Linked DNA regions of Yarrowia lipolytica. The protein of the gene in region 2 interacts with the protein of the main gene of each other region in a biochemical or structural test. Links are inferred from orthologs where the notes say so. Each region holds a gene or a part of one and is shown on either strand. Other genes may lie near its edges.

Region 1 (3,482 bases), on a different chromosome or scaffold from region 2:
TGTGGCGGTGCATTTCTAGGTTCAAAGCAAAGCCGCGAGCTTATTATGGCGGAGGTTAGGTACAGTAAAAAGAAAATGGCAGTGCGTTAGAATTGACAAGGACGCGTGTTTTCCGACTAAATTCCTTTTTCATTGGAATCTCTGGTCTAAGACGGCTATTTTGATGTAGTTTGAATCGTCTTAGGAGATCTATTGCATCTTTAAGGAGCTACTGGAAGGCTTGAACTTTCGGCAACAAGTCTGGAAGAAGGAATATCCAGCTAGGAGAGTTGGCATTAGTAGATACAGGTAGTTCATTGGAGAGCTATATAGTACTTCTCCTTGTGCTTGTACAGGTATGATATTCTATATATACATCCGTTTATTCTTTAGGGGTCACGTAGAATGCCATGTGTTCCCTCCTCCTGAGTCTTACCGAATCTGGCATTTCACGAAATCAACAACAAGTATTTTGATAAGCTGTTTTTGCGACTCTCTGATCATCTCCAATAGTTCTGATCTTCAGCTACTGGCGGGCTTACTAATCACGTCTCTCGAGCTAGCTCACCAACCCAACCCCGTCCACACATGGCATCCTGGCCGAGCGGTTAAGGCGAGAGATTAGAAATCTCTTGGGGTTTCCCCGCGTAGGTTCGAATCCTGCGGATGTCGCCATCTTTTTGGTCCTCTTTTGTATGTATATTTCTCGTTTCACGTGATGTGGTTGATTACTGTGCGAACTGTTGGATGTATGATGAAGTGTTTTTTAGGGGTTACCGAGACTATTAGTCTCGTTTGTTTGTACTTCATCAATAATAATGGCGTCAAAGAAGTACCTATTTGAAGTGTTTGTACTTCCTTGTCTCCTTTTGCCCGTCCAGTGTGACTCCTATAACACAAGAACCTGCCGACTTCCTCTATGTTGATTCATGGCGCGTCCCATGGGGAAGAGAGGGGCCCAGATTCCCAACAATTGACAGCTTCTGATACTTTTTGACAGCATTACAGCTCATGGTTCCTCTTTCTTCTCATAAATATACCAACGTTCAACTTTGCCTGTGTTCGTGAGGTCTTCCTCAGCACTGCGAGACCGCTAGACCGTATCAGCGCAAGAGAATGTTGAAATAGCAGGCTACAGTAATGGTTCAGTTATATCCTATTCTTCTACATCTTTTGGGGCCGCTCCCCGAGAGTTCCTACGAGTTGGAGTATCGCCGGAAAGCTCTACTCTGAAAATAATTGCTTTAACAAAGATATCAACTAAACGCGTCTTTCATAGTTGATAGGAGTTCCCTCAACATCCCAGCCATAACGTGGTATCCAGTACTTCAATCGCTCTGAAACTATATCTACATACAAAGTACAACTCAAGAACTGCGTATAGACGTTCATCGTCCTCTAGCTATCGTCCTCTACCATGCTCCAGCATCTCCTTCTACTTACCCTCTTTTCGCGTACACGGGTTTTGGGTTCTTTTTAAAGTTCAATTTACACGCTTTTGATTTTGATCCATCGAGAAATACTGCTCCAGCTTTCTATACCAGAACTCGACACTTTCAGCATGCCGGAGATACGTTCAAATCTGCCCACTACTGCCACCTCGCTCAATGATGGCTTCACGTTGCCCATCACAAAACGCAACTACAACCGTCAGTATGCGCCAATCTACTACATGCGATTGCACCAGCTCATGAGCCAGGTGCTGGATGCTGCTACTTCCAAATGGGCTGATAAGAACGTCAAGTACCTCAACAAGTGTTTGGACGTTCTTGTTGGGGATACGGTGTTTGTGGTCGGCACACTGTTCAAGGACATGAAATACAAACCCAGCATGTTGGAGGAGGTGACCCGCAGCCATTGGGGAGCTCCTCCGGGCAAGAAGCCCAAGTACGTGGACCCTCAGGGCGATTGTGAGGACGGTGGACACAAGGACGATTCGTCGATTCAGCTGGAGGACAGCTCCGGTCGAATCACGCTCGTGGGACCAAAGGTGCAGGAGTTCATGCTCATCACAGGCGTTGTTTGTGGAGTACTAGGCACGGCAGGCGAAAACGGACGCTTCACGGTCGTGGATGTGGTCTGGGGCGGCTTTCCCGAACAGATTTATCGACCTCTGAGTGGAGTCAATGACGGAGAAGACGTTGAGATGGCTGACAATGATACTCCTGAAGACACATACATTTGTCTTGCTTCTGGTCTGTACATTGGCCAGAAGAAGACGGATTACAAACACGTGCTTCTGGCAGAATATCTCCAGGGGCTGCTTGAGGAAGATGGTGCAAAAGATGGACTGGTAAAGCCCAAAAACATTTCGCGGTTCATTATGGCCGGAAACAACTGCTCGTTGGAGTCAGAAAGACCCGTTATCGACACACTATCTCGAACCGTGGACCTCGACGCCTTCAAGCCCATGGCTCGCGTTGACGAGTACATTGCACAATTGCTGCCATCCATCTCTGTTGATATCATGGCAGGAAACGACGATCCCGGCAACATGTCGCTTCCTCAGCAGCCGCTGCATCTGTCCATGTTCCCTCAGAGCCGCAAGTTCAAAAAGGCCACCTTTGGGTCTGTTTCCAACCCCTACTGGTGGGACTTTTCAACCGACGAGGCGCCTCTCAAGGTGCTGGGAACCTCGGGACAAAACGTGTCGGACATCTACAAATATCTGATCGAAGGACGAGACGATATTCTGGATATCATGGAGCATACGCTTGCCTGGCGGCACTTGTGTCCCACTGCCCCAGATACCCTGACTTGCTATCCTTATGGAGATGACGATCCCTTCATCATCAAGGAAACTCCCCACCTGTACTTCTGCGGCAACCAGGACGAGTTCCAGACCAGTGTTGTCAAGCATGACGGAGTGTCAGTGCGTCTGGTGGCAGTTCCGCGGTTTGATGAGACGGGAGAGGTGGTACTGGTGAACATGCGAACATTGAAGGCAGAGGTGCTGAGGATTGTCGCCTAGCTGGAGAGCGGAGCTCAACGTAGCGAGGGTAGGCAGCAGCACTACGAAGTAGGGGGTTTCGATGAGCGCTTCTAACTCTCGCTCTCAACAGATACATGCCATGTTCTCAGCAATTGTCGCTGGGACTCTTGACAAACTACCTCTTGTAGTGGGGACTACAAGTAGTTAGGAACTAATATATTGCACTTGCATGGCTTTATGATCGTAGCACAAGTGAGAGGTGGTTGGACAGTGTAGCGTATGAAGCCATCTTCTACGAGCTCTAGGGCACATTTCCCCCGTTATCACACAAGTAATAGTTCCAGTTCTTCCGAAACATCGAGTATGACTCAACACAGCGACCATGATGATATATGTTCTACACTCTTTGACTATATACAGTAGGCTACTTTTCAGGGGCGGGAAGAGCCAGCAACCCGTTAGGGGCAGGGAGGGCCTTGGTAAAGTCTCGTACGACAATGGAGCAGTCGACTTCTCGACACAGGTCCTTCTGCTTGACGGTGATCTTGTTGAGGAACTCGACTCCGGTGGA
Region 2 (5,691 bases):
GAAATACGGGCCGTAAACGGGCTGTTTGACGGCCAGTTTCGGAAGACAAGTGTGGTTGAAAATGTTGTTGATCGGTCAGTCTCGTTTGTGCGGTCATTTTGAGCCTTTTTCTGTGTCTTCAGCGTCAATATTCGTCGTTTTAGATGTTTCACGATTTCACTGATACAATAGTGAAACACCGCCGTGCACGACATGTCGAGTATACTGAACGCACTTGTGCCCGAATGTAGTGTATGTACAATATACCCGTGGTTGTGCCTGCTTGTAGCTGTACCGTACCGCACTTTCTTCCTGCGACTCTGCTGTAGATCTACAAGACTCACAAAGATGGAGACAACAATCAACAATTTTCACACGTCACGTGCGCCAAGCAAACAACCGTACGCCAAGCCGACCTCCTTATCGTTATCGCACCGAGAAGACCTCCGACACTGTCCGACACCGTCCGTTGCAACTGCTTAGACTGAAAACAATCGAGATCAGAAACGGAGAAACCACTTGGACGTACCGCGCAATAGGTATGCTCACGTGACTCAATTGGGTTTTCGATTGGTGGTGGAGTGTGATTTCTGGAGATGCGTTGGTGGGGCGAGAATGGCTATAATTCCGTCAAATTTGAACCAAATGGAGTTTTGCTGCTCCCAGAATGTCTGCCCGAACGAGAGCTCCACGATAGTATCAAACTTGTTGAAAATTCCGGCGGAGATGTGTGCGTTTGGAAGATGTACGTCGTCGGATCCGCCTGCAAGCACCAGCACAACAGTGATACGCGTTACGGCAGCTACATCGAGTCGGTCCAAAGTCCAGTCCAAGCACAAGCACGAGTACCGTAGCTGCTGTACAAACTGCATCCGGTACGTACCATTCGCGTACCATCCAGTTGCCCTTTGAGTCGTGTTTCTTTGCCATCTTCTCTCCAACCACGCTGCAATCGCTGTAATATATACTACATACTATGTACCCGCTCGAAAAAGAGACGTTTTTAAACACTGCAAATCCAACTCAAACCCAGCTCTATTTCTCATCTATTGCTCACACCTGGGCACTCCACTCCCACCCGCTTACAGGTACAGAATTTTTTTAATTAATATGCAGCGCGTAAAAAAAATTTCAACTGTAAACGCGTGCTTCCATCTTGGGGTGGACCGCTGGTAATGGTGCGGTGAGCCGTAAATCATGTTTCGAATGTGTTTTTCCTTGGTGAAATCCCGTATAACGGTCGTCTAGGCGTCTATATTTCGAAAATTCACTTTTTTTCAGCCAATCAACGCCTTCCTTTTTATGTAGACAATTGCTGAGCAACGAACGCGCCTCGAACGCTAACCAGTCTTGCGATGAAGTGGTGTAGAATGACAAAAAAACAGGAAAAGCGCAGGAAACAAAAACAACAACAAAGCAAATTATGGGGATTAGTTGGATATCCTTTTTGTGTCTATTCCTTGCTCTTGGGACGCCCCAGACGACAGGTTATGAGCATGGTGTCCTGAATCAGCGGTACACAGCGTGCTGCACCTCCCCACGAGCTCCTGCACCGAGAGTCGTCTCTAGAGTCCGCAATATTGGTAGTATTGTAAATCTGAAAAGTGCAAACTTCTATATTCACGTCATTCTTCATATTCCAGCTTTCCTTTTCTCAATGGCGCCAAAACTGGACCGATTGTCTTGTTCCCACCCTCCCCCACGCGTCTCTATACAGATTGCCTAATACGGTCTCTTATTACAATTTACAGAGACAGCGGTCTGGACCGCGAATATTGGTTGTATTTCGGATCGGAAAATTCCCGCTCCCACAAGACAGTTTTCTCGTCATTTTCCTGCTTTTGGAATTTTCCTGCCATCAAAACTCGTCGTTGTACGGAGACCTGTCCCCGCCACCCACAGGGCACGCGTAAATCTAATTATCAGACACGCGCTTCCCTTCTTCACCACCACACCGCAGCATACACACACAATCACAATGCCGTCAATGGAAGTGGACATGAACGTCAAGCGAACGGGCGACGACGTGGCCGCCATGGAGACCAAGAAAATCAAATCGGTCACGAAAGAGCCCAATCCCACCGACTTTGAAGAGGAGCTGATTCTGCTGACCCAGGCCTCAGACGCCGAAAAGGGAGCTGTCGTGTCGGACGACCAGGTGTGGCCCCGGCCTGAATGGAAGGAATTCGATCCTCAGACAACCGACATTTCCTTCCAGCAGATCGACGCGGAAGAGGCGTCGGTGAACGGACACGCCGTGGTGCGTCTGTTTGGAGTCACAAAGGAGGGACATACAATTCTGTGCAACATCCGCGGCTTTTGCCACTACTTTTACGCTCCTGTCCCCGTTGGGTTCAAGGCCGAAAACCTCAGCACTCTCAAATCTGCCATTGCAAACACCGTTCCCGACGCCCTGGAACGCCTGGAGGTCTGTGAAAGAGAATCTTTCTGGGGATACAACGGAGGAGCCAAGGCCAAGTTCTTTAAGATCTTCGCCACCAACCCAAAACTAATCCCTAAGCTACGATCTGCTTTTGAGAACGGAAACCTCAACTTCCCCTCGTCACACGCCCAAGTCGGAATGCTGTTTGCCAACGGATGCACCTCCTTCGACAACATTCCCTACGTGTTGAGATGTATGATCGACTGTCACATTAGTGGTATGAGTTGGGTCACGCTGCCCAAGGGCAAATACACCATTGAAACCCAGTCGCTCGTGTCTCGATGTCAGCGAGAAATCAACATCTCCTACAAAGATCTCATCGCGCATCCTGCCGACGGCGAATGGAGTGACATTGCCCCCCTGCGAGTGCTCTCGTTTGATATCGAGTGTGCCGGCAGAAAGGGTGTATTCCCAGACCCCAAAATCGACCCCATTATCCAGATTGCAAACGTCGTGTCTCGACAGGGAGACACTCGTCCGTTTGTACGAAACGTTTTCACTCTCAACACGTGTTCCCCAATTGCAGGAGCCCAGGTGCTGGAGCACGAGAGCGAAGGAGATATGCTGATGCGATGGAAGCAGTTTGTCAACGAGGTGGATCCAGACGTGATTATCGGTTACAACACAACCAACTTCGATTTTCCCTATCTCATCGACCGCGCAAAGACTTTGAAACTCACAGACTTCCCCTACTTTGGCCGGTTGACGCATATTCAAAATGTCCTTCGAGACTCCACCTTCTCTTCCAAGGCGTACGGAACACGAGAGTCCAAGGTGCTCAACATTGATGGACGAACGCAGCTGGATCTTCTGCAGTTTATTCAGCGAGAGTACAAGCTGCGAACGTACACTCTGAACGCTGTGTCTGCTCACTTTCTAAAGGAGCAGAAGGAAGATGTGCACCACTCTATCATTACAGATTTGCAAAATGGAAACGCAGACACCCGTCGACGTCTGGCGGTCTACTGTTTGAAGGATGCCTATCTGCCTCAGCGACTCATGGACAAGCTCATGTGTCTTATTAACTACACGGAGATGGCTCGTGTCACTGGAGTCCCGTTCTCCTTCCTTCTTTCTCGAGGTCAGCAGATCAAGGTTATTTCGCAGCTGTTCCGAAAGGCCCTGGAAGTCGGAATGGTCATTCCCAACTTGAAACAGGACGGCTCTTCCGAAGAACAGTATGAGGGAGCCACGGTTATTGAGCCTGAGCGAGGATACTACGATATCCCCATTGCCACTCTCGACTTCTCGTCTCTATACCCTTCCATTATGATGGCCCATAACCTCTGTTACACCACTCTACTGGATAAGGCTACCGTTGAGCGTCTGGACCTCAAGCTTGACGAAGACTACCACCGAACCCCCAACGGAGACCTGTTTGTCAACCAGAAGACCCGAAAGGGTATTCTTCCCATTGTTCTAGAAGAGCTTCTGAGTGCCCGTAAGAAGGCCAAGGCCGACTTGAAGAAGGAGACCGACCCCTTCAAGAAGGCCGTGCTGGACGGTCGTCAGCTGGCTCTGAAGATCTCAGCCAATTCTGTCTACGGATTTACCGGTGCCACGGTTGGTAAGCTTCCCTGTCTTGCCATCTCTTCTTCCGTCACTGCGTACGGTCGAGATATGATCCAGTTCACCAAGGAGCAGGTGGAGAACAAGTACACCAAGGCCAACGGTTACCCCGAGAACGCCAAGGTCATTTATGGTGATACTGATTCTGTTATGGTCAAGTTTGGAGTGCCAGATCTCAAGACTGCTATGGATATGGGTCTGGAAGCCGCCGAATACGTGTCCGAGATGTTCCTCAAGCCCATCAAGCTGGAATTCGAAAAGGTCTATTTCCCCTATCTTTTGATTAACAAGAAGCGATATGCTGGTCTGTACTGGACCAACCCCGAGAAGTTTGACAAGATGGACACCAAAGGTATCGAGACAGTTCGTCGAGACAACTGTCGTCTGGTGCAGAACGTGATTGAGACTGTTTTGCGAAAGATTCTCATGGATCGAGACGTGGAGGGTGCCCAGGCTTACGTCAAGACCATGGTTGCCAATCTGTTGCAGAACAAGGTGGATTTGTCGCAGTTGGTCATCACTAAACAGCTCTCTCGGCAGGACTACGCTGCTAAGCAGGCCCATGTGGAGCTGGCTGAGCGTATGCGAAAGCGAGACGCAGGCTCTGCCCCTGCGCTGGGTGACCGAGTTGCCTACGTTATCATCAAGGGTGCTGTTGGAGGCAAGAACTACGAGAAGTCTGAAGACCCATCGTACGTGCTGGAAAACAACATTCCCATCGACACAAAGTACTACCTTGAGAACCAGCTGCAGAAGCCTCTCCAGCGTATTTTCGACCCCATTCTCGGCGAGCGTAAGTCTGCTCAGCTCATGACTGGTGCGCATACACGTACCATCACTGTTGCTGCTCCTTCAACCGGTGGACTGATGAAGTTTGCCGTCAAGACGGAAATGTGCAAGGGTTGTCGAACGCCTCTTCGAGGCAAATGGGCCAAGGGTGCTGTCTGTGAGAACTGTGTTGACAAGGCCGGAGCTTTGTACCAGCAGGCATTGGGTCAATTGAGTGAGTTGGAGGTCAAGTTTGGAAAGCTGTGGACCGAGTGTCAGCGATGTCAGGGTTCGCTTCACCAGGACATTCTCTGTACTTCCAGAGACTGTCCCATTTTCTTCATGCGACGACGAGTGCAGAAGGATATCCAGAGCAGTGTGGCCGAACTGAGCAAGTTTGACGTTCAAGATTGGTAGTTTGGATTGATAGACAATATATTTATGGCATGTGTACACTTTACTGTACAATTGCACTTTTGTAATGTATTCAACTATGAAAAGGTGTCATTGCACGATGCCAAAGAGGTCTACTTGTTGTACGTGGAATGTAAGGGGGATTGCGACTTGCTAGCCAGATGTCCAATTCTTGCCCCAATCCCAGTATCGCTTTTGACGTTGCAATCATTTGCCCTTCCAGGTATGGATCATCGAAAGTCATCAAAGCTCGGTACAGGGTCTCGGCATGTCTTTCATTAAACCGACACAGAGGGTTAGGACCAACCAGATCCCGTCGCTGCGATCCAAGTCCCTGAGACGGCGACTGGTGATCTGAAGCACCTTTCCGGCGATATCCAGGTAGACGAGGCAGGAATCTGTAAAAGACCGGGCCACTAGCAGAGACAGTTTGTAGATGCATTAAACGGCTTTCTTCTCCTGTTTCACAATCAACAACAAACGTACCCTTGACACAATTTCCAGTACTAAGATCGACC

Evidence for each region.
Region 1: the proteins of YALI1_A08175g (region 2) and YALI1_D06665g form a complex in vitro, tested with the Saccharomyces cerevisiae proteins (2 studies listed by BioGRID). The link is inferred for Yarrowia lipolytica from reciprocal best matches to the Saccharomyces cerevisiae genes POL3 and POL31.

What each region holds. Positions count from the first base shown.
Region 1 is NC_090773.1:664,622-668,103, reverse strand, and holds YALI1_D06665g (uncharacterized protein), read left to right. Parts: upstream 1-1,540; coding exon 1,541-2,950; downstream 2,951-3,482. Other genes in the region: YALI1_D06638g (uncharacterized protein), read right to left, coding at 3,336-3,482. UniProt on the Saccharomyces cerevisiae protein: DNA polymerase delta (DNA polymerase III) participates in chromosomal DNA replication.
Region 2 is NC_090770.1:813,855-819,545, reverse strand, and holds YALI1_A08175g (uncharacterized protein), read left to right. Parts: upstream 1-1,957; coding exon 1,958-5,176; downstream 5,177-5,691. Other genes in the region: YALI1_A08126g (uncharacterized protein), read right to left, coding at 5,247-5,691.